Linked DNA regions of Pelodiscus sinensis. The protein of the gene in region 1 purifies or fractionates together with the protein of each later gene. This does not show direct contact. Links are inferred from orthologs where the notes say so. Each region holds a gene or a part of one and is shown in the gene's direction. Other genes may lie near its edges.

What was found. The genes of interacting proteins can lie anywhere in the genome.
Region 2: the proteins of MTX2 (region 1) and IMMT purify together in Homo sapiens (co-immunoprecipitation; 5 studies listed by BioGRID and IntAct, counting the BioPlex papers as one, with this or other methods). This does not show direct contact. The link is inferred for Pelodiscus sinensis from reciprocal best matches to the Homo sapiens genes MTX2 and IMMT.
Region 3: the proteins of MTX2 (region 1) and CHCHD6 purify together in Homo sapiens (co-immunoprecipitation; 3 studies listed by BioGRID and IntAct, counting the BioPlex papers as one, with this or other methods). This does not show direct contact. The link is inferred for Pelodiscus sinensis from reciprocal best matches to the Homo sapiens genes MTX2 and CHCHD6.

What each region holds. Positions count from the first base shown.
Region 1 is NC_134717.1:44,842,291-44,849,558, forward strand, and holds the start of MTX2 (metaxin-2), read left to right. Parts: upstream 1-4,223; 5' UTR 4,224-4,355; coding exon 4,356-4,395; intron 4,396-7,268. UniProt on the Homo sapiens protein: Involved in transport of proteins into the mitochondrion.
Region 2 is NC_134715.1:122,618,619-122,626,432, reverse strand, and holds the start of IMMT (MICOS complex subunit MIC60), read left to right. Parts: upstream 1-4,748; 5' UTR 4,749-4,979; coding exon 4,980-5,024; intron 5,025-5,381; exon of another isoform or gene 5,382-5,518; intron 5,519-7,814. Other genes in the region: MRPL35 (large ribosomal subunit protein bL35m), read right to left, coding at 721-920. UniProt on the Homo sapiens protein: Component of the MICOS complex, a large protein complex of the mitochondrial inner membrane that plays crucial roles in the maintenance of crista junctions, inner membrane architecture, and formation of contact sites to the outer membrane.
Region 3 is NC_134721.1:24,267,899-24,275,797, reverse strand, and holds the start of CHCHD6 (MICOS complex subunit MIC25), read left to right. Parts: upstream 1-4,833; 5' UTR 4,834-4,949; coding exon 4,950-5,039; intron 5,040-7,657; coding exon 7,658-7,796; intron 7,797-7,899. UniProt on the Homo sapiens protein: Component of the MICOS complex, a large protein complex of the mitochondrial inner membrane that plays crucial roles in the maintenance of crista junctions, inner membrane architecture, and formation of contact sites to the outer membrane.

The sequences.
Region 1 (7,268 bases):
TTAGACAGAAGGGTTTCATTTTCCCAGGCCTGAAAGAAGAGCTGTGGAAGCACAAAAGCTTGTCTCACCACAGATATTACCTCACCCACTTTGTCTCTCTACTATCTGGGGACCAACATGGCTATGATAACACTGCATACTAAATAAGGCTTACAATTGACTGATCCCCATATATGGAGCCATTGCAGTTTAATGTGGTATGTTGTGTTTGATCCAGATACATCCAAGAACTACAGGACTAAGGGGTGCAGTGTGTGAGAGGTTTGATCCTCAGGCCTTTGGGAGCCTCTGCCAAGCATGGACCTGTACAGTGTGTAGGGCAGGGGCAGGAAACTTTTTTCAGGATGTGGCCCCCAAATGAGAATGAGAAAGATACTACCCACAGTCTCCTCACACACCAGAGCCTGATGGGCCCCAGACTAGTAGATTTTGTGTATTCCAGCCCCTCAGGTAGGTGGATGGGGAGAGGGGGCTGGAGCACCAGGCAATCCAGGGGCTGCATCTAGCCCCCAGATCTTTGGTTCCCCATCCCTGGTGTAGGGGGTTGATCCTCAGCCCATGGAAGCCTCTGTGCAGCATGGGGCTGTAGTATATGTATGTGAGTGTGGCGGCAACAGGGGGAGGTTGCTGTCCAATCTGTGGGAGCCTTTGCCCAGCAGCAGATTACATGGTTTGTGTGTGGGGGAGGGGTGATCCCCAGTTCCCAGGAGGCTGTATATGTGTGTGGGGGAAGGGGAGTTGATCCCCAGTCCAAGGGAGCCTCTGTGCAGCAGGGGCTATGTGTGTGAGGAGGAGGGGGGAGTTGATCCCGTCCATAGGAGCCTGTGCAGCAGGGGCTCTGTGTGTGTGTGTGATGGGGGAACGGGGAGGGAGTTGATCCTCAGTCCATAGGAATCTGTGCAGCAGGGGTTGTGTGTGTGTGTGGGGGGGGGGGACTAGGGGGCTGATCCCCGTCCATAGGAGGCTGTGCAGCAGGGGCTGTGTATGTGTGTGTGGGGAGGGGCGGGGGCGGAGTTCATCCCCCATCCATAGGAGCCTATGCAGAAGGGGTTGTGTATGTGGGAGCTGATCCCCAGCCCATAGGAGCCTGTGCAGCAGGGACTGGGGGGGAGGGGAGAGGGAAGTGATCCCCAGTCCATAGGAGCCTGTGCAGCAGGGGCTGGGGGGGGGGGAGAGGGAAGTGATCCCCAGCCCATAGGAGCCAGTGCAGCAGGGGCTGGGGGGGGGGGAGAGGGAAGTGATCCCCAGCCCATAGGAGCCAGTGCAGCAGGGGCTGGGGGAGGGGCGGGGGAGGGAAGTGATCCCCAGCCCATAGGAGCCAGTGCAGCAGGGGCTGGGGGGGGGGGGGAGAGGGAAGTGATCCCCAGCCCATAGGAGCCAGTGCAGCAGGGGCTGGGGGGGGGAGAGGGAAGTGATCCCCAGCCCATAGGAGCCAGTGCAGCAGGGGCTGGGGGAGGGGCGGGGGAGGGAAGTGATCCCCAGCCCATAGGAGCCAGTGCAGCAGGGGCTGGGGGGGGGGGGGGAGAGGGAAGTGATCCCTAGCCCATAGGAGCCAGTGCAGCAGGGGCTGGGGGGGGGGGAAGAGGGAAGTGATCCCCAGTCCATAGGAGCCTGTGCAGCAGGGGCTGGGGGGGGGGGGGAGAGGGAAGTGATCCCTAGCCCATAGGAGCCAGTGCAGCAGGGGCTGGGGGGGGGGGAAGAGGGAAGTGATCCCCAGTCCATAGGAGCCTGTGCAGCAGGGGCTGGGGGGGGGGGGGGAAGAGGGAAGTGATCCCCAGTCCATAGGAGCCAGTGCAGCAGGGGCTGGGGGGGGGGGGGAGAGGGAAGTGATCCCCAGTCCATAGGAGCCTGTGCAGCAGGGGCTGGGGGGGGGGGGGAGGGAAGTGATCCCCAGTCCATAGGAGCCTGTGCAGCAGGGGCTGGGGGGGGGGGAAGAGGGAAGTGATCCCCAGTCCATAGGAGCCAGTGCAGCAGGGGCTGGGGGGGGGGAGAGGGAAGTGATCCCCAGCCCATAGGAGCCTGTGCAGCAGGGGCTGGGGGGGGGGGAGAGGGAAGTGATCCCCAGTCCATAGGAGCCAGTGCAGCAGGGGCTGGGGGGGGGGGAGAGGGAAGTGATCCCCAGCCCATAGGAGCCTGTGCAGCAGGGGCTGGGGGGGGGGGGGGGAGAGGGAAGTGATCCCCAGTCCATAGGAGCCAGTGCAGCAGGGGCTGGGGGGGGGGGGGGGAGAGGGAAGTGATCCCCAGCCCATAGGAGCCAGTGCAGCAGGGGCTGGGGGGGGGGGGAGAGGGAAGTGATCCCCAGTCCATAGGAGCCAGTGCAGCAGGGGCTGGGGGGGGGGGGGAGAGGGAAGTGATCCCCAGCCCATAGGAGCCAGTGCAGCAGGGGCTGGGGGGGGGGAGAGGGAAGTGATCCCCAGCCCATAGGAGCCAGTGCAGCAGGGGCTGGGGGGGGGGAGAGGGAAGTGATCCCCAGCCCATAGGAGCCAGTGCAGCAGGGGCTGGGGGGGGGGGGGAGAGGGAAGTGATCCCCAGCCCATAGGAGCCAGTGCAGCAGGGGCTGGGGGGGGGGGGGGGGGGAGAGGGAAGTGATCCCCAGCCCATAGGAGCCAGTGCAGCAGGGGCTGGGGGGGGGGAGAGGGAAGTGATCCCCAGCCCATAGGAGCCAGTGCAGCAGGGGCTGGGGGGGGGGGAGAGGGAAGTGATCCCCAGCCCATAGGAGCCAGTGCAGCAGGGGCTGGGGGGGGGGGAGAGGGAAGTGATCCCCAGCCCATAGGAGCCAGTGCAGCAGGGGCGGGGGGGGGGGAGAGGGAAGTGATCCCCAGCCCATAGGAGCCTGTGCAGCAGGGGCTGGGGGGGGGGGAGAGGGAAGTGATCCCCAGCCCATAGGAGCCTGTGCAGCAGAGGCTGGGGGGGGGGAGAGGGAAGTGATCCCCAGCCCATAGGAGCCTGTGCAGCAGAGGCTGGAGGGGGGGGGAGAGGGAAGTGATCCCCAGCCCATAGGAGCCTGTGCAGCAGAGGCTGGGGGGGGGGGGGAGAGGGAAGTGATCCCCAGCCCATAGGAGCCTGTGCAGCAGAGGCTGGAGGGGGGGGGAGAGGGAAGTGATCCCCAGCCCATAGGAGCCTGTGCAGCAGAGGCTGGGGGGGGGGGGAGAGGGAAGTGATCCCCAGCCCATAGGAGCCAGTGCAGCAGAGGCTGGAGGGGGGGGGAGAGGGAAGTGATCCCCAGCCCATAGGAGCCTGTGCAGCAGAGGCTGGGGGGGGGGGAGAGGGAAGTGATCCCCAGCCCTAAGGAGCCAGTGCAGCAGGGGCTGGGGGGGGGGGGAGAGGGAAGTGATCCCCAGCCCATAGGAGCCAGTGCAGCAGGGGCTGGGGGGGGGGGGGAGAGGGAAGTGATCCCCAGCCCATAGGAGCCAGTGCAGCAGGGGCTGGGGGGGGGAGGGGAGAGGGAAGTGATCCCCAGCCCATAGGAGCCAGTGCAGCAGGGGCTGGGGGGGGGGGGGAGAGGGAAGTGATCCCCAGCCCATAGGAGCCAGTGCAGCAGGGGCTGGGGGGGGGGGGAGAGGGAAGTGATCCCCAGCCCATAGGAGCCAGTGCAGCAGAGGCTGGGGGGGGGGAGAGGGAAGTGATCCCCAGCCCATAGGAGCCAGTGCAGCAGGGGCTGGGGGAGGGGGGGAGAGGGAAGTGATCCCCAGCCCATAGGAGCCAGTGCAGCAGGGGCTGGGGGGGGGGAGAGGGAAGTGATCCCCAGCCCATAGGAGCCAGTGCAGCAGGGGCTGGGGGAGGGGGGGGGAGAGGGAAGTGATCCCCAGCCCATAGGAGCCAGTGCAGCAGGGGCTGGGGGGGGGGGGGGAGAGGGAAGTGATCCCCAGCCCATAGGAGCCAGTGCAGCAGGGGCTGGGGGGGGGGAGAGGGAAGTGATCCCCAGCCCATAGGAGCCAGTGCAGCAGGGGCTGGGGGGGGGGGGGAGAGGGAAGTGATCCCCAGCCCATAGGAGCCTGTGCAGCAGGGGCTGGGGGGGGGGGGGGAGAGGGAAGTGATCCCCAGCCCATAGGAGCCTGTGCAGCAGGGGCTGCTGGTGGGGTGATGCCCAGCACGGACCATACGGGGATGACCCAGGGTAGGCCAGGCGCTGGCTGCCGTGTCGGTGCACTCCGGGGAGGGGGCCCGCGGGCCGGGCCAGGCGGCACTGCGGGAGGGGCGGGCCCGGGAGGCGGAGCGGGCCCCGGATGCACTTGCCCCGGCGCTGCCAGGCCGGCTCCTAGTTCCTGCGCGTGCCCTTAACCTTGCGGGGCCCGTTCCGAGCCCAAGCGGGGCCGCGGCTGCGCCTGGTGCGGGCGGGCTCGGCCGCAGGGATCATGTCGCTGGTGGCGGAGGCGTTTGTGTCTCAAATAGCAGGTAGCGGGAAGGAGGCGCTGGGGGGCGGGGGGCGCTGGCACGAGGCAGGCCGGGTTCGGGGCGAGATGGGCCTCGCGGCGGGGCAGGAGGCAAAAGCCAGTGGGCCCTGCGCAGCTCCCCGTTCCCGACTCCGGCCGCAGGGTGCGAGACCCGGCTCTCGTGCAGTCTGGCCGCGTCCCGTAGGCAGGGCCAGGCCCTGCTACCTGCGCGGTGACCATGCTGTTGATGATGCGGTCGGAGGAAGGTTTGTTATGGTGTTTAAGGAGCTGGATTCTCTATTGCAGGAACGATACCACGCGGCGCGGCGTCCCGCTCTGTGCGTTCTGCTTTGGAAATGTTGCGAGGCAAACCTCAGAGTTTTTAATAGCCTGCTGTCAACAACGTGTGTCCCCTCACTGGCCTCTTACAGAGAGAAACACATGCATCGGATGATTTGACTCGCCTAGTGTGCTTTTGTTTCCCTGCCACCGCAAAAGGATGTTTGTTTCTTTTTTAATATGCAAGGGCATTTTCCTCTTATCAGAAGTAGAGGTTCATTTGCTCAGGAAGGACAGACAGGGAAATAAGGGAGGAGGGGTTGCCTTGTATATTAAAAATGTACACACTTGGACTGATGTGGAGATGAACGTAGGAGATAGCTTAACCCAGAGACTCTCTACACAGCTAAAAGGGGTAAAAAATGAGGGTGATGTCATGCTAGGAGTCTACTACAGGCCACCCAGCCAGGTGGAAGAGGTGGATGAGGCCTTTTTTAAACAATTAACAAAACTATCCAAAGCCCAAGATTTGGTGGTGATGGGGGACTTCAACTATCCAGACATATGTTGGGAAACTAACACAGCGGGGCGCAGGCTATCCAATAAGTTTCTGAACTGCATTGGAGACAACTTTCTGTTTCAGAAGGTTGAAAAAACTGCCAGAGGAGAAGCTGTTCTGGATTTGATTTTAACAAATAGGGAGGAACTAGTTGAGAACTTGAAAGTGGAAGACAGTATGGGGGACAGTGATCATGAAATAATAGAGTTCATGATCTTAAGGAAAGATAGAAGGGAGACCAACACAATTGAGGTAATGGATTTCAGGAAGGCAGATTTTGATAAGCTCAGAGAACTTGTTGGTAAGGTCCCATGGGAAGCAAGACTGAAGGGAAAAACAACTGAGGAGAGTTGGAAGTATTTCAAAGGGATGTTGTTAAGGGCCCAAAATCAAACAATTCCGCTGTGTTGGAAAGATAGAAAATATGGCAAAAGACCAGCTTGGCTTAACAAGGAGATCTTGCATGATCTCAAAATAAAAAAGGAGTCATATAAAAAATGGAAACTAGGACAAATAACAAAGGATGAATATAGGCAAGTAACACGGGAATGCAGGGGCAAGATTAGAAAGGCAAAGGCACAAAATGAGATCAAACTAGCTACAGGCATAAAGGGAAACAAGAAGACCTTTTATAAATACATTAAAAGCAAGAGGAAGACCAAGGACAGGGTAGGCCCACTGCTCAGTGAGGAGGGAGAAGCAGTAACAGGAAACTTGGAAATGGCGGAGATGCTCAATGACTTCTTTGTTTCGGTCTTCACCGAGAAGTCTGGAGGTGTGCCTAACGTAGTGAATACAAGCAGAGAGAGGGTAAGTTTAGAAGATAGGATACACAAAGAACAAGTTAAAAATCACTTAGGAAAGTTAGATGTCAGCAAGTCACCAGGTCCTGATGAAATGCATCCCAGGATACTCAAGGAGCTGAAAGAGGAGGTATCTGAGCCTTTAGCTATGATCTTTGAAAAATCATGGAAGACAGGGGAGATACCAGAAGACTGGAAAAGGGCAAATATTGTGCCCATCTATAAAAAGGGGAATAAGAACAACCTAGGAAACTACAGACCGGTCAGTTTAACATCTGTCCCAGGGAAGATAATGGAGCAGGTAATTAAGGAAATCGTATGCAAACACTTGGAAGGTAATAAAGTGATAGGGAATAGCCAGCATGGGTTTGTGAAGAACAAGTCATGCCAAACTAATCTGATAGCTTTCTTTGATAGGATAACGAGCCTTGTGGATAAGGGAGAAGCGGTGGATGTCATATACCTAGACTTTAGTAAGGCATTTGATACGGTCTAGCATGATATTCTTATTGATAAACTAGGCAAATATAACTTAGATAGGGCCACGATAAGGTGGGTGCATAATTGGCTGGATAACCGTAGTCAGAGAGTTGTTGTTAACGGTGCTAAATCCTGCTGGAAAGGGATAACAAGTGGAGTTCCGCAGGGGTCTGTTTTGGGACCTGTACTGTTCAATATCTTCATCAATGATGTAGATATTGGGATAGAGAGTATGCTTATTAAGTTTGCAGATGATACCAAACTGGGTGGGGTTGCAACTTCTTTGGAGGATAGGGACATAATTCAAAATGACCTTAGCAAGTTAGAGAAATGGTCAGAGGTAAACAGGATGAAAGTTTAATAAAGAGAAATGCAAAGTACTCCAACTTAGGAAGGAACAATCAGTTCCATACATACAAGATGGGAAGCGACTGTCTAGGAAGGAGCATGGCGGAAAGAGATCTAGGGGTCATAGTGGACCACAAGTTGAATATGAGTCAACAGTGTGATGCTGTTGCAAAAAAAGCAAATATGATTCTAGGTTGTATCAACAGGTGTGTTGTAAGCAAAACTCATGAAGTCATTCTGCCGCTCTACTCTGCATTAGTTAGGCCTCAGCTGGAGTACTGTGTCCAGTTCTGGGCGCCACATGTCAAGAAAGATGTGGAGAAATTGGAAAGGGTACAGAGAAGAGCGACAAGAATGATTAAAGGTCTAGAGAACATGACCTATGAAGCCAGGCTTCATGAACTGGGCTTGTTTAGTTTGGAAAAA
Region 2 (7,814 bases), on another chromosome or scaffold:
AGTCGAGTCAACTAGTCGCTCCCCGCACCTTGTCGCCTCTATCAGATAGAGGCAGCAAAGGGGTGTGTGTGGGGGGGGGGGGGAAGGAGGTGGTATTACAGAGCAGACTTCGTGTGGCGCTGCTGCTTTGAAATGTTGTGCAGCATTTCAAAGCAACAGCGCCACGTGGAGCCCTGGGTCAGCGGGACTCTTGTGTATTCCGAAGCAGAAGCCCCTGCTGGGGCTCTTGTACATGTCAAAGGAGAAACGCAGAACGCCCATCGACTACTAGACTAATACATGAGTCGATATTTAACATCCTTACTTCACACTTCCCCCTCTCCCACACATGCTCAGTGCCCTCCCCCTTCTCCCAGCTGCGTGCAGTTGGGGCGGAGCCTCCCTGTGAGCTTCCCGAATCCCACAGCAGAGAACTGGAGTCGCTGATCAACCAAGGCCAGGCGGGTGCCTGGTTTGTGCTGCCCCAGACAGAACCACCCTCCCCACGTCGGCAGGGAGAGGCTGTTGAAACGAGGCAAAGAAACACAAGGGGCTTAGGGCCACGATGATCTAGGAGCGCCCCCCCCCCCAGCAGCTTCCCTCCCGAGCGCCCCCCCTTTGCATCCTTCCCACGGGCAAGGAGCCTCCCCCAGCAGCTGCTCTCCCTCGCCTACATCCTCCCCCCGGACCAGGAGGCCCCTTTGAGACGGCGCCCGCCGCCAGTGTCTCTTTCTCACTGACCCGATAACCTGCGTACCACACCAGCTGCCGCCATCTTGCCAGCCGTTTGCGGCCCGCCTACGGCAGGCAGCGAGGGACACACTGCGCGCGGGGGGCGGGATTAGAACGGGGAGGCCGCGCGACGAGCGGTTACAGAAGCCGGAAAGCCGCTTTTCCTCGCCCGCACGCACTGGCTGCCCGACGCCCGAGTGTCTGCTCATGCGCCGGAGTGGGCGGCTGGGCGTTCCATCCGCCGGCTGCTCTGCGCGCGCCTGGTGCAGCAGCTGTGCTGCAGGGTCTCTGTGGGTTAGGGGAACTCCGCTCTCCTGCTGGCCAGGGCAGCAATCCTTCCACCACCTGCTTCTGGGCGGGTGTTCGAGGGCGGGGTTCCTTAGTGCCTCTTTAGCTGCTTTGAATGCCCCTCCGCACCCGCCTGGGCTAGCTAAATTCAGTAGTGTTCGGAAGTAAAAGCGGAATAAATTGTTCCTTCCTGGAGCCGTTGCAGCATGGGGTCAGTCGCCCTGCCTGGCCACTGGTAATAGCACAGCAGTTCTTGTATTAGAAACGCAGCAGCAGGACCGCGGGGAATCGTCTATAATGAGAAGGACAGGTATATCCCACCCATACTTACTTGTATCTTCTCTTCCTGATCATTTACTGTTGCCTTTCATTGTTTTCCTAAAACTGCTCTGTTGCTTCAGGGCGCAACGCATCCCTGGGAGAAAACAACGCTAAGGCCCATTCTCGCAATGAAAACCACATGAGCTGACATTTATCCCATGCAGTGTCTATTGCCCTACCATTCTTATCGCAGGATCAGGCCCTTCCTGTGCAGACAGCCGCAGTCTGGGCTCATGACAATTTAAGAGTTGAGAGGTGTACACAGAGGGTATTGCTAATCTAATCTTCAAGTGGCAAAGGAAAGGATACAGCCTTCTCACCAAGTGCAGATGCTATGAAGCACATCTGATAACTACTGATAGCTCATCTGAGGAAGTGGCTTTTGCCCATTCAAGTGCATGATACTATCTATATTTTTGTTAGTTTCTCAGGTGCTACAGGACGGCTCATTTTTTTTACTCTGATAGCTGGACTATTGGGAGCATTTTTTTCCAGTCTGTTACCTCAGGGACAGCTTAGTTATCTCACTCCAGGTAGTGTAAGGAATCAAGAGGAATTCAGCAATTGTGATTAAATTGCCAGGAAACATGCTCTTATCTAACACTGCAGTTTATTAGATTTAAGCAAACACGGACATCATGAACAATAAATAGGTTTAGAATAATGATGTAAGCGAATAGTCGAGTAGTTGACTACCAAATAAGCCTAGGCTTATCAAGTAGTTGAGTCATTACTATGCCATGGGTGACAGGTTGCTCCAGCCAGGCCCACTGCATTATGTGTGGAGAGCTGCTTCAGCCCGGTTGGGTCGGAGTACCCCCAGCCCATGGTGCAGTAGACCCAGCCAGACTGGAGTAGCCCCCCACTGCACCAGAGCATCGGTTAACCGGTAACGTGGCAAAGGTGGTGTTCACCAGGTAACCGGTAACAGATAAGTATCACGCTGCAAAGGCGGTGTTTACTGGGTAACCGAGAAGAGTCACACGGTAAAGATGATGCTTACTTGTTAACCGGTGATATCCCTACTTCAGATCTTTTCATAAGATCCCTACATTGCAAGTTCCCTCCACCAGCATTCCACATGTGTAATCTGAGCCTTCTGTGTGCTGTGCTCCATACATTTCATTTCTTCCTCATGTCCTAGTGTGAGGGACCTTGTGACTTTCTACCAGCCTTGGAGGACTAGGAACCTCAGTGGAGCAGTCTGTATTCCACCTTGGTCCCACAGCCCACCAAGAATATCAGCTGGTGTCTGTGAGCATGGGCATTTACTTGGCATTGTTCACCCATGACCCTGACTCCTGTCCTTTCTGCAGCATGAGGAAGACCTTAGTGCATACTTACCTGCAGTGTGCCTGGCTGCAGCCCCTTTTCTGGATCCTCCTGAACATTTTTCCAAGGTTCTGGCTGCATTTTCCCCATACCTCCTGATTATTGCACATCTTGTCCATGGCCTCACAAAGTCACGAGACCTCATTAATCTCCTACTTGCATTAACCAAAGTAGCATGTATAAAACTAGGAAGATCTTGGAGAGAGAGGTGCTCTGTGACTGTGGGGCCTACTTCTGTTCCTCTGACCAGCATTCTTAAACATTTTTGAGGAACAGTGAATGCTGTCTGGGGCTCTCTGCTTGGTATTCTCCAGTTCCTTGCTCATGGCCATATGACCTCACTCCTGTTCCTGGTTTTTCATTAGCTGTCCTCACGGGCAGTGGATATCATATGCAGAGGGAGGCATGCCTTCCAAAACAGCCTAGTGTGGCCCCACTCATGCTCTTTCCCCAGTCCAGGCCAGCAAGCCCCCTCCTGCTTGTTATTCCCAGTACTCTGCCCTGGCTGGCTGGGGTTGGCCAGCCTGCTCTGGCAAGAATTGGTGGCTGGACTAGAGCCACCCTGCCCTCCTGGCACTTGGAGCATGCTGGCCGCCGGGCACTTGGAGCACGTTGCTTGGTGATCTGGGGCTGGCCACCTGGATCATCAGGGTTGGAGACGATGTTCTGTTTTTTTTTCTGTAGACAAGTGTAATAAATTTTATGTGCATCAAGGCATGTGTGGATGTGCACTACCAGAAACACGTTGCAGGCTGTGAGCATTCTGTAATCAGCAGGGCAGCATTTGAATCTCTCCTGGTTGGCTGCCCAAATACCCAGCTTTGCTTCTCTGGCCTCCACCTGTGTCTCTTGCCTCCTGCCCTCCTGCCCTGATGCTGCAGGTAAGCCTCCCTCCTTGCTCCGCTTCAAGGTTGTCAACTTTCTCAGCTGACAGTGTGTCTAGCCTGGGAGAGTTGGCAAACCCCTACTCCCCACAGCTTCTACCTCCCTACATTGCTCCACATTGCTGCTGCTCCCACCCCACAGCATGTGTGTGTGTACATTCTGGTGTTGGGCTGGATAAGGGACCAGCACTAGTAAGGACAGCTCTGGCCCCAGGGTTGAGGGCACTGCAGCAGTGCTGTCCAGAGCTCCAGGGCTGAGGTCTTATCACCCAGCCACTGGCGCCAAGGGAAGCAATGGGAGTAGTCTGGGCAGGCTCTTGAGAGAAGAGGAGAGGCACTGCCTCCGGCAGAAGAGAAGGGAGTGGGGACAGTTATGGGCCGCTCATGGTTGTCGCCCCCCCACCCTAAAACTTTTTGAGCACAATAGGTTCAGTTGCATCTCCCCTTAGACTGGGAGAGAGGGACCTTCTGCTGTGGGTGGGCTTGGCCCGCCCCCCCCGGAACTGAAACAGGCGGGCTACATCTAGACTGGCATGATTTTCCGGAAATGCTTTTAACGGAAAAGTTTTCCGTTAAAAGCAGTTTCGGAACAGAGCGTCTAGATTGGCACGGATGCTTTTCCGCAAAAGCACTTTTTGTGGAAAAGCGTCCGTGCCAATCTAGACGCGCTTTTCTGCAAAAAGGCCCCAATCGCCATTTTCGCGATGGGGGCTTTTTTGCGCAAAACAAATCTGAGCTGTCTACACTGGCCCTTTTGCGCAAAAGTTTTGCGCAAAAGATCGTCAGTGCTTTTGCAGAAATTCAAGCAGCCAGTGTAGACAGCTGGCACAATGTAGACAGCTGGCAAGTTTTTCCGGAAAAGTGGCTGATTTTCCGGAAAAACTGGCCAGTCTAGACACAGCCTCAGGGCTCAGCGGATGCTGGCACTGGGGGCGGTGGGGTGCTACTGCCATACCGCTGCCTTGGAGGGCTTCACTGCTTGCCAGCGCCCCCTGGTCCCGCGCCCCTGCTGCAGCTGACAGGCTCCAACCCAGCTCAAGGCGCGGGCCGAGGGCTAGCCCCGCCCCCTTCGCTTTGGTTACTTTCCCGTCAGCTCCACCCCGCTCTTTACTCCGCCGCTGCACTTCCCTCACTGCGCCTGCGCGCTGCTTGTATTATCAGGCGTTGCGATTGGCTACCCCCTCTGACACTCCCTTCTCTGAGCGCGCCATATCGCCGGCGTGGCTCCTGTCTGCGGAGGGACCGTATTTGCATATTCTGATTGAGGGCCCCGCCAGTCACCATCTCTTCCCTCAGCGGCGCGGCAGTTGCTGCGCCTGCGCAGTGGGTTGGACTGCTGCTGAGGGGGGCGGAGGCAGCGGGCCCTGCGGGGAGTTGCCGCACACAGCAGCTTCACGTGAACTCCCGCGGCTAACCACGCACAGTGCCCGGCGCTTCGGGACGATGCTGCGAGTGTGTCAGCGAGCGGGGGCCGCGGCCGCCGCCCAGGTGAGCGGGGAAGGGGGCCGCCCACAGCTGGCGAGGGAGGCAGGAGCTGCGCCTGGGCCGGTCGCGCCCGGGGGCCTCCTTGCGATATGAGGGGAGCCGTATCGATAAGTCGCGAGAGGCTACTTTCAGGCGAGGAGACGGAATCGGGTCGCACGAGAGGAGACCAGGGGAGAGAGTGATTAGAAGTCGCGTCCTTTAATCGCGGCTCCGCTTGACCCGAATGACGGGGCGCACGTAGATTCTGATTGGACGGCCGCCTTTTGAGTGACGGGTGAAATGGCCCAATAGACTGTGCGAGGCGGAGCTAGCTGAGTCACATGATGTGGTTAAGTAGACTACGAGCCCCAGAATGCAACGCGCAAATCTGTCTTGGGCATGGGGGTTTCGCGCTGCCTGCCGGTCCTTGTCGTCTTGCGTTCGGTCCTCGCGCTGTGCGGGTGGAGGGTTTGTAGGCTGCTGACGTCTGTTCTTTAGGAGAGGTCTGCGGTCTTAAGGTGAGCAGTGCATTGTGGGATTAAACTTCGTCACGGGCCGGGAGCCTCGTTTCACCCCGTATGCTGGGAGTTGTAGTTGCAGCTCTTCTACAGGGCTCAGGCGGTGGCTTAGCACGCTGGGCGTTGAAGTCTCCTTGGCATCCCCTCTACGGTAGAGGCGGGCCTGTGCCAGCTGCGCGCCTTGTACACCTACGTGAGCCTGACTTTTGCGGGGGGGTGTCCCTGGTTGCTCTTTCCTTGTCGGGGAGCAGCAGGTGCAATGAACACTACCAGGTGTTGGAAATAGTCTTACAGCTGTCTCTTGCTACAGGAACAAAATGGACACTCGTGTTTTTAAAGTGCCCAGATGCCTGCTTTTAGTGGAGAAGGACATGACCTTGTTTCCCTCTGATTTCTCCTGATTACATGACTCTCCCTCTCTCTTGTTTTGTTTTAAGCCTTCTATAAGATTTAGAAGGAAACAAACGACCATTATGATAAAACTGCCCTAGGATAATCTCTTGTTTTGGTTTCCCTATACACTCCAACCTTTCTTCTTCTAAATTAACGTGTGCTGGTGTGGGTCTTTTTCATACTTTTTCCTTTACTATCCCAGAGCATGTTGCTGTTTCATAAATAACAGGGAACATCATTGTGGACAGGAGTTGCTTTGGGTTAGGTTAAAGGGATACTTCAAACTTTGAATAAATGTTAAATGTTGCTGAAATCCACAGAGCTACCTTTATCATCTTTGCTTTTAAAAGCAGTTTTAAAGTTGATCCCCAAAAGAGGGAATCTGCAATCCTTCAATGAATGGGACTTGTTAGTGTTGGCAGTGTAAGAGAAAAATGGTATATATGAGAAGTATATATTGTCATTCCAAGAAGCAGCCAGTTGCAGAAAATAAAAGCAGAAGTTTAACTCTCATGTTTGGAGAGCATGAGCTTGAAGTCTTCCTTAAAGCAATTTTTCAAACTTTCTTCTGCAGACTGTATTTATAGAAGGGACTGATTTTTTTTTCCAAGTACCTTATTGGAATATTGTGTCTTTCTTTACAGAAGCACGTAAAGCTAATTACTAAACATACACTTTTAGGATTTTATTCTATCCTTTGGTATATGTTTTCCATCCACAGAGAACAACAAGGAGCCAATATATAAAAGGCCTCATAGCTTTGTACTTAGAATGCAATCTCTTTAAAGCTAGCCAGCTCACCCCACAACAGTAGCTGGCATTCTTCCTGTTGCACTGTAAGGTTAAAGAATTCAGCATGGCAAATCATCTGACATCCTTTAAATCAAGGTTTGTGGAAAGTGAGAGTAGTGGGTGGTACACTAGAAGGTACACTTCCAAAAACTGCCAGCCATCTCTTGAGAGTTGAACACACTTACCCTTTGGCTGTGTCTACACTGGCGTGCTCTTACGCAAAAGCGGCTGCTCTTGTGCAAAAACTTGACCACGAGTTCTTGCTCAAGTAAACTGACGTTCTACTGTAGGAAATCAGGGCTTCTTGCACCAGAACTCTGATGCTCCCGCTCAGGAATAAGCCCTTTTGCACAACTGTTGTGCAAGAGGCCAGTGTAGACAGGCAACATGAATTTCTTGCGCAAGAAAGCCCTATGGTTAAAATGGCCATCAGAGCTTTCTTGCGCAAGAGAGCATCTACACTGGCATGGATGCTCTTGCGCAAAAGCACGTGCCAGTGTAGATGCTCTCTTCTGGAAGAGTTTTTGCACAAGATCATGCCAGTGTAGACATAGCCTTCGTGTGTTAAAGATTTTTGGTGAACTTACAAATTTTGGCTAATCAGGATTATTGTATAGTTTAAGTAAATATGTAACTGCTGAAAATTTCAGCTGGTACATGTTTGCATGCAAAGTGGCAGGCAGTTCACCAGGAGCTGGTACTGAGCTGTAAAATCTTTTACTGAGTCACATATTTTAATGTCCTATTCATGTTTCTTGAAGACTTGGGGCCCCACAGGAATTAGAAGCTGAAAATTAGAAATACATAACTTTAATTCTAAGGGCTGTTTTGATAGAGTGGTTGGGACACCTATCTGGAAGGTGGAAGTTGAAGGATCCAGTCTTCCTGCTTCAATCACACTTATTTATGCCCAATGGAACAGCTTCTATAAGGGAGAGGAGTGGAGCCTTGCATCAACATAGGCCTTTGATTAGTGGTTAGAGCACTCTTGTGAGACATGGGAGACCCCTGTTCAAATCTTTTCTCTCCCTCTGGCAAAGGAGGGAATTAAATATGTGTCCCAGGTGTCACTCTAAACACTGGGCCAACAGTTATAAGGTGGACTTTTTCT
Region 3 (7,899 bases), on another chromosome or scaffold:
CAGATTGCAGTAATTTGCATAGCTTTTTTCTGAAAAAACCCCCCTATACTGTAGTGTAGACCTAGCCTGAGAGATTTGCCATTGTTTTCCATGGACTGATAAAGGAGTAGTAATAACTTGCATTATCTAATTAGCTTAACATTACTGTGGACTTCAACAAATATCCCACATCTAGCGATGCCTCCTATAAAAGTCCCCACAACTGCTTCTGTATAGGTTTATTGAGGCAGTGGCTTTCAACCATGCCACACTACTGTATTCTTGTCAATAGTCTGGTTTGCCTTGCATACCCCGAGTTTCACCTCACTTAAACTACTTGCTTACAAAATCAGACACAGGTGTCACCTCACACCATTACTGAAAAATGGTTTATTTTTACCGTATATTAAAAAACCAATTGACTGGAGTGTACATATTGCCCTTACATTTTGATGTTTAATATAGAGCAATATAAACAAATGATTGTATGAAATTTTAGGAAGAACTGATTTCATAGAGCTTTCTATGTAGCTTGTAAAACTAGGCAAAATCTAAAAGAGTTGATAAACTCTGGAAAATCTCTGCATTAAACCCAATAGTACATGTTTCTCTGACTGAGAACCACTGCATGGTTCCATAATTTATAGATAGAATGACATGGAATCTTAGCTGCTTTGTGGAATCATTCTTTGGGTGATGGAGGCTTTTTAATAGATTAGCTATAAAGTTGGAGTTTGCTTTACAGCCTTAGCTGAGAGCCAGCTGCCTTGATAGTTCAAGCCATAGAGGTTCATGCACTAAGCTCTAGAGGTCCAAAGTATGGTTTTGCCTGTTGGTGATATGCTGTCATACAGCCCCAGGTACTGCAATCAAGAGACTAGATAAGAGCAGGCCCATATGCAGGGTGCAAACACACTTCCCAGGATCCCTCAAGTAAACATGTTCTGGCCAGCTGGGGGAAGGCAGGAGCAGTACGCTGCCCGACCCCCCTCCCCTGTGCTCCAACCAGCCGGGGGAAGGCGGGAGGGGCGCACTGCCCACTTCTCCCTTCCCTGTGCTCTGGCTGGCCAGGGGAAGGCTGGGGCTGATTTTCCTGCCCCTTCACCCCAGGAGCTAGGTCAGAGGTAGGGCTGGGCATCTGGGGCTCTCCCTGCAGCCTTCTGCCCCTGTGGTCAGCGAGCCAGCACCAGGCACCACTTCAATGCCATACCCGCGTAGGGCGGGGCAGGGACTGCTTGTGCTAAGGAGCTTCAAAGGCAAAGGCACCGTAAGCCCCATGTATCCCCTCCTCACAGGCCAGGTCCTGGGGAGCAGAGCTGCAGTCACTGCTGCTGCTTGCTCTCTTCTGAGCTACTGCCTGTCCTTGGGACACAAGTATGTGTCACTCCAGAGACCACCCAGAGCCACACTGCGAGCTGCGCTTCCTCTCCGGTGTGTCTTCATTCCCAGGGCTCTGCAGCCCAGCTGTGTGGAACACCCCTCTCTCCTGTTCTGGTTGGTGGGATTCCGTGTTTTCCTCTGCCCTGCCCATGCCCATGCCCAGCATTGCAAGTCCTACAAAGCCAGGTCCTGTTCCTAGTAAGGATGTTCAATAACAATTAATTTACTAGTTGAGTAGTGGATGGAATTTCCATTGACTACTTGACTATTTGATAGGCACTTCCGCATTTCTCCTTTGAAATGTATAGGAGTCCCCGGGCTCTTGCGCATTTCAAAGTGGAAGCGCCCACATGGAGCCTGGGGTCAGCGGGGGACTCAGAGTTCTATGTGGCAATGCTGCTTTGAAATGCCATGCGTTTTTAAATGCTGCACTGAAGCTTGGGATCAGATGGGGAGTCCCCAGCTAATCCCAGGTTGCATGGAAATGCCATGCAGCGCCCAGGTTCAGCTGGGGACTGACGCCAGGCTCAGCATGGCATTTCTGCAGAACCTGAGATCAGCTGGGGACTCCCCTGCTGACCCCAGGCTCTGCATGCTTTGAACTGCTGTGCTGGAGCCTGGGATCAGCGGGGGAGTCCCCAGCTGACCTCAGGTTCTGTGGAAATGCCCTGCAGAGCCTGGGGTCACCTGGGGAGTGTTTCAAAGGGACAGCCCCGCACAGAGCCCAGGATCAGCTGTGCGGCACTGCCCCTTTGAAATGCCGCCCAACGTTTCAAAGCTGCAGCCTCTGAGTGGAGCCCAGGGTACAGGTTCTGTGCGGTGCTGCCACTTTGAAATACTCCCTCTTTCCCCCCTTTGCTGCCTCTATCTGACTAGTGGAAATCGACTAGTCAACTCAACTATCTGATAAGCAAATGCTTATTGGATAGTCGACTGGTCCTTAACATCCTTAGTTCCTAGCCCCCGGGGTTCTTGTTTTGCACTCCAGTAGGCCCTATTACACCCGTTTTGCAATGTAATGTCAGTTAAAAGGGTGCCATCAGAATCAGAAATGATCACAGAAGTGTGCTCTGGTTTTGCACATGCAATGAAATGCCAATTAGCCAGTCTCGGCCTCTAAGGCTACGTCTGCACTGCAATGCTATTTTGGGATACCAGAGTATCCTAAAATGGCTGTCCTACATCTTTACAGCCAGCCCTTTATTTTGAAATCTAATGGGCTTATTATGTCGGCATCCCTGTAAGCCTCATTCCATGAGGAGTAAGGGATGTTTCGGAATAACTGGCTATTTTGAATTTAAATTACAAAATAAGCTATTTTGAAATGCAGTTGAAATAAGATATGCAAGTTGCATAGCTCAAATTGCATATCTTATTTCGAGCTATGCTGCAGTGTAGACTCATCCTAAAATACCAGAATCTAGAGCACCAAAAGACCCAAACGCTACATTAACTGTTATAAGCTGCAATGTTTGAGTTAGTTGCCTTAATATGAGTTAAAACATTGTTCAGGTGCCAGATTTTCAAAGAAGGCTGCAAAGCTCCCATGTTTGCAATTGGCTCCTAGCTATTTGTATACATGTACAAATTATCCATGTTGCAAAGGCATTTAATTATTTTTTGCAATACAACAATGGATACAGTAAGTTCATACACATGTTTACAGAATAAACCTGTTGCCTTCTTCTTTGGAAATGAAGCCTTAAACAAAATAAATGGTGTGCAATTTGATCACTGTATGCACAGAATACCTACTAGTTAACATTGCGTTCTACTAAACTGTGTGCAACTAAAACTATTGTTCATCTACAGGTACATGTTGTAAGACAGACACTGAGTTTTGCTAGGTCTCTGCAAAAAGATGCCATTTGACCCAAACAGAATTCTGTTTTCAACCTTCCCCAATATTGAAGCGAGGAGACTTTTAGATGGCAGTGCAGCTTGAAGCATTACTAACATCAAATTTCAAAATCATGATGTTGGCTTAAAAATAATTAAGATTTAAATGGGGAGGGGAGGCTGGCTTTTAATTTGCCATTTGGTGTTAGGGCCTTTAGGGTTCAGGTTTTTCAATTTTTTTCTTCAGCAATAGTAGCTAGAAACCAATCTTCTTTCTACCTGAACGCTGATATTCTCTTGTAATCACATGAATCCAAGAACTTTAAGAACATCAGATAACACGAGACTCACAATAAAACCATGAGAGGTGGCAACTTGGATTAAAAATCAAGGCACCCTCATAAAAGCAATGGGCATTCTTTATGACAATGATAATAGCTTAAGTGGGAGCCTTACTATATTTCGCATTTATTTGAAAAGGATATAAAAATATCATCAAGTGTCTTGACAACCACACTCAAAGGAAGTGGTCAAACTGAGCTCAGCATGCTGTGTTTCCCCTCTGCTGCCCCCAAATGTTACATATTCCAGGTGGGTCTGAGTTCCAAAATTGCCAAAAAAAATTTCAAATGAAATAGCTATGAACAATGTGTGTAAGAAAAGGTACCAAGTGAAATTCCATCTAAATCACTGTGATACAGGAGAGAAGGCAACCTTTTATACAGTGAGCACAAAGAGAAACAAGGTGGGTGAAACAATATTTTATTGGACCAAATTCTGTCTGTCTCTAGTATAATGGGACCACACAACTACTACTGTGCTGCACAACAGCAAGAGAAGTAAGGGGACAACATTCAGAAAGAGAAGAGGTAGGATGAATATCAGAAAAATCTTTCTTTTTATGAACTAGCTAATTCTTCTAACATCCCTATGTATTCAGTAATTTCTTTATATTTCAAAAGTATAGGCACCCACCCAGTGCTCTTGATGGCTGTACCATATATTAACAACTTAAACCAATACTTAATTGGGGGGCCATGGAGATGAGGTGTGTTCACGTCCTTGCAATTCACATTTTGGGGAAAAAAGCACACAATACCCTCGAAATTCCTGCATATGGGCCTGAAGAGCCCCCATTTTAAATTAATGGAAGTTTATAAGACCTTGTAGGGATGCAGAAAATCCATGCAAGTGAACTGAAAGGCTAAGAATTCTGAAGACAAGCAATAGCCCAACCAACTACTTATTTAAAAAAAAAACCCTCAAGTTATTATGTTGGAGGCCTGCCCAGCTCATGATGTGGAAAGCTTGGGGGATCACAGTATTGTTCTACAGCAGAGCTCTGCTCCTCTGGGAAGGTTGGGGGTTGCCTACCAGGGAGCTTGTGGGAGACTAGGACCTCAAGCTCAGCCTCTAATACCCAGTGGCTAATTCAGGCCTGAGAAAAGCTTTCAGTAGCTAGGCCGTCCCGCCCCTCTCATGCCCGTTGCTTTCCTTGGTTGGCTCTCTAATTCAACCCTATCCAGAGAGAGCCCTTGGCGGAACATCCCCCAGCACCAAACTACATTTCCCAGCCTGCGCCGCGGGCCAACGCCAGCAACATATCTCTCCATTGGCTGCTTCCTTGCCAGCCACCAATGAGACGTGGGTTTGTTGGTAGGCGGGCTAGGGAGAGTTTGTGTAGCTGAGGAGGCTTTGCCCCAGCCTAAGTGTGGGGCACAGCGGGATAACTCCGGTCCAGCCCCGCCGGCATGGGGGGCAGCGAGAGCAGCTACGGGAACAGGAAAGTCTCCTTCGGGCTGGATGAGCAGGAGCGAGTGCGGGTGCTGCAGGGCATCAGGGTGAGCCGGGCTGGGTCTGAGAAGGCAGCTGGCTTGAGAGGCTGTGGGGGCGGGAGAGGGGCTGGGGATGAGAGGGAAGCTTGGTGGGGGAGGGGCCTTAGGTGGGTGGAGTTGGGGTGGAGGAGAGGGGCTGGGTGGAGTAGTAGGGGGAGCGGTGCTGGGACTAGGGAGCGATAGCTAGCTATGGAACTGGTCTGTTTTAGTGAGATACAAGGTATTCCTCCCCCCCCCCCCCCCCCCCCAGCTGTTTAATCCATTCTGCACTCTGGTTAGAGAAGATTTGACATTAAAGGCAGGAGGTGGCAGCTGAGATACTGGCTCAGAGAGCATCCAAGGGATGAGACCAACACCATTTAATTAATATCACCTGGGCACTATAGTGAATGGTGCAATGTAGATACTGTATATAGGGGCATAGGAGTTGAGAGTGAAGATTAAAAGCATCTCCAGTAGTATTGGGCAGGGAGTGGTTAAAATTGGATCTTAGGAAGGCAGCCCCATTTGCCTCCTCATAGCATACCCTAAAGGTACAAAGGCTTCAGAGGGGTAGTAGCCAAGTTAGTCTGTAACTGGAAAAAACAACAAATAGTCTAGCAGCACCTTGAAGACTAACAAAACATGTAGATGGTATCATGAGCTTTTGTGGGCACAACCCATTTCTGTGCCCACAAAAGTTCACGATACCATCTACATGCTTTAATAAAAGATAGGACCATGCAGCACTTTAAAGACTAACAAGATAGTTTATTAGGCGATGAGCTTTCGGGGGCCAGACCCACTTCCTCAGATCAAATTGTGGAAGAAAATTGGCATGACCATATATACCAAAGGGATACAATCAAAAAAAAATGTGAACACGTATAAAATTGACAAATCAGATTTTAGAGCAGGAGGTGTAGGGAGAGGGGAGGTTAATGTCTGAGATACTGTCTTTTGTTTCAGCAAGACCACACTAACACTGCTACGTCTCTATTACTAATCTACATGTTTTGTTAGTCTTTAAGGTGCTGCTAGATTAGTCATTGTTTTTAAAGTTTTCTTTGAGCTACAGTTGGTCATGTCTCTAGGTTGCATTTTTCTCTTTTGTATTTGTCTCCTTATTTCTTTACTGTTACTTGACTTTTTTTGCAATTTTGCATTATTTCCTTTGTGCCAGTTGTATCCCCTTTGGCTGCCTATTTGCTTAGCTCAGTGTGAAACGGCCTGCTGAGTGAGACTAGATAAGAATGTTCATATCTTTCCAATCATAAGGATCTGACTAGTGTTGTTTTAGATTCCTGTTGCAGATCTTTGATATAGAGTAGAATCTAAACCTAATCAATTTTCTCTATGCTGCTGTTTAGCTGGGCCCATTTAGTGTTCAGTTCCATGAACAAACTACACAACAAAATGAATTGCCTTGTTAATTTTATGTTGCTGCTCAGCTGAATGTGGTTGAATTAAAGAAAATTGTTGATTCATGGTTATTGGTTCATTCCATTGATCTCTAGGAGTTGAGGTTAAATGGAGGGAGCCCTGATATTTGTCATTATAGGAGCTCACGCTAAAGGAATGGGGACCTCCCTAGCTCATTCATTTGAATTACAAAGCTGAATCCAGTCGCAAGCTTTTATTAAATGAAATAGGCTTCATCACTCTTGGAACTCTAAGGGAATTACTTTGTTTTTTACAAAAACCTCAGATGCTTTATAACTAGTGTTGACAGTTCATTTTCTTTCAAGGAAGTACACCCACTTCTGTAGAGTTGATAATTTTGTCCTTGTCATAGCTAAAACATCATAATTATCTATCTCTTTTTTTGCAGTGCATGTTGTATGTCTGGAGCTGTGTTCCCAGGGATCTGCTGATAGCCTACTGTGTGTGTTTCATTTATAGCAGAAGGGAATAGAGTTGAAGTCTTAAGACCAAACTGACTATCACAATATGCAATCAAGATGTTAACATGCTGCTTATTTTGGGTACTAGCAGCAAATTTAAAATCTATATTCTGGTTTATGCCCTGAAGTGTGTCCATGGGACACTGAAATTGAGTACCCTTCAATTTTGTCCACTAGGGAGGAGTGGCTAGTACAAGATTAAATCAGATAACTCAGAAGAAGTGTAAATAAGAACAGGTAAATCAAAAGACATGTAAGCCCTGTCTATGCCATCAAAGGCAAGGGCAGAAAGACACTTGGAATTGAATTCCCAGGACATTTTTGCATGTATTTTCTACTTTGCCAAAGTATGAGATAAGACACATTTGTCCCTTCCATTTCATTATTGTTTTGTGAAAAACTCTTCCTAGACTTACAAAAGTATGAACTGAAGATCTGCTAGATAATGATCCTTCCCTGCTCCTCCCACCCTCCTCCCACACTGTGTACAGGATTGTTCCTTATAGCTTGTTCTTCAGTTCTTTGTCCAGTCTAGCCTTAGACTCGGTTACTGGAACTCCATAACTTCCTGATGTGATATATTTTCTAAATGTGAATTGAACAACAGATACATTGATCTGAAATAATGTTTTAAAATAACATAAGCAGAATTAAAAATAATTACCTGTTGGTGACTCCACTTAATAAAGAATAAAAATCAAGAATTGACTCACTTAACATCTCCCCAACAAATTGCTCTAGCTCTCTGAAGATGTAGTGAATCGAATGAAGGAAACTCCTCAACTTAAAGGAGACCAGAGACCATCTTCCTTTTCTTCTTCATCCTATGACACTGCATCACCACCACAAGCTGCAGAAGGGAAACCCAAGTCTACTACAGGTATTGTCAGATTGTGCTGTGTCTCCAGTCTAAAGTTTTGATACTTGGTCACTGAGGCCTGGTCAATGCCATTATACTGTAACAAGCTTGTACCTTGTTATGA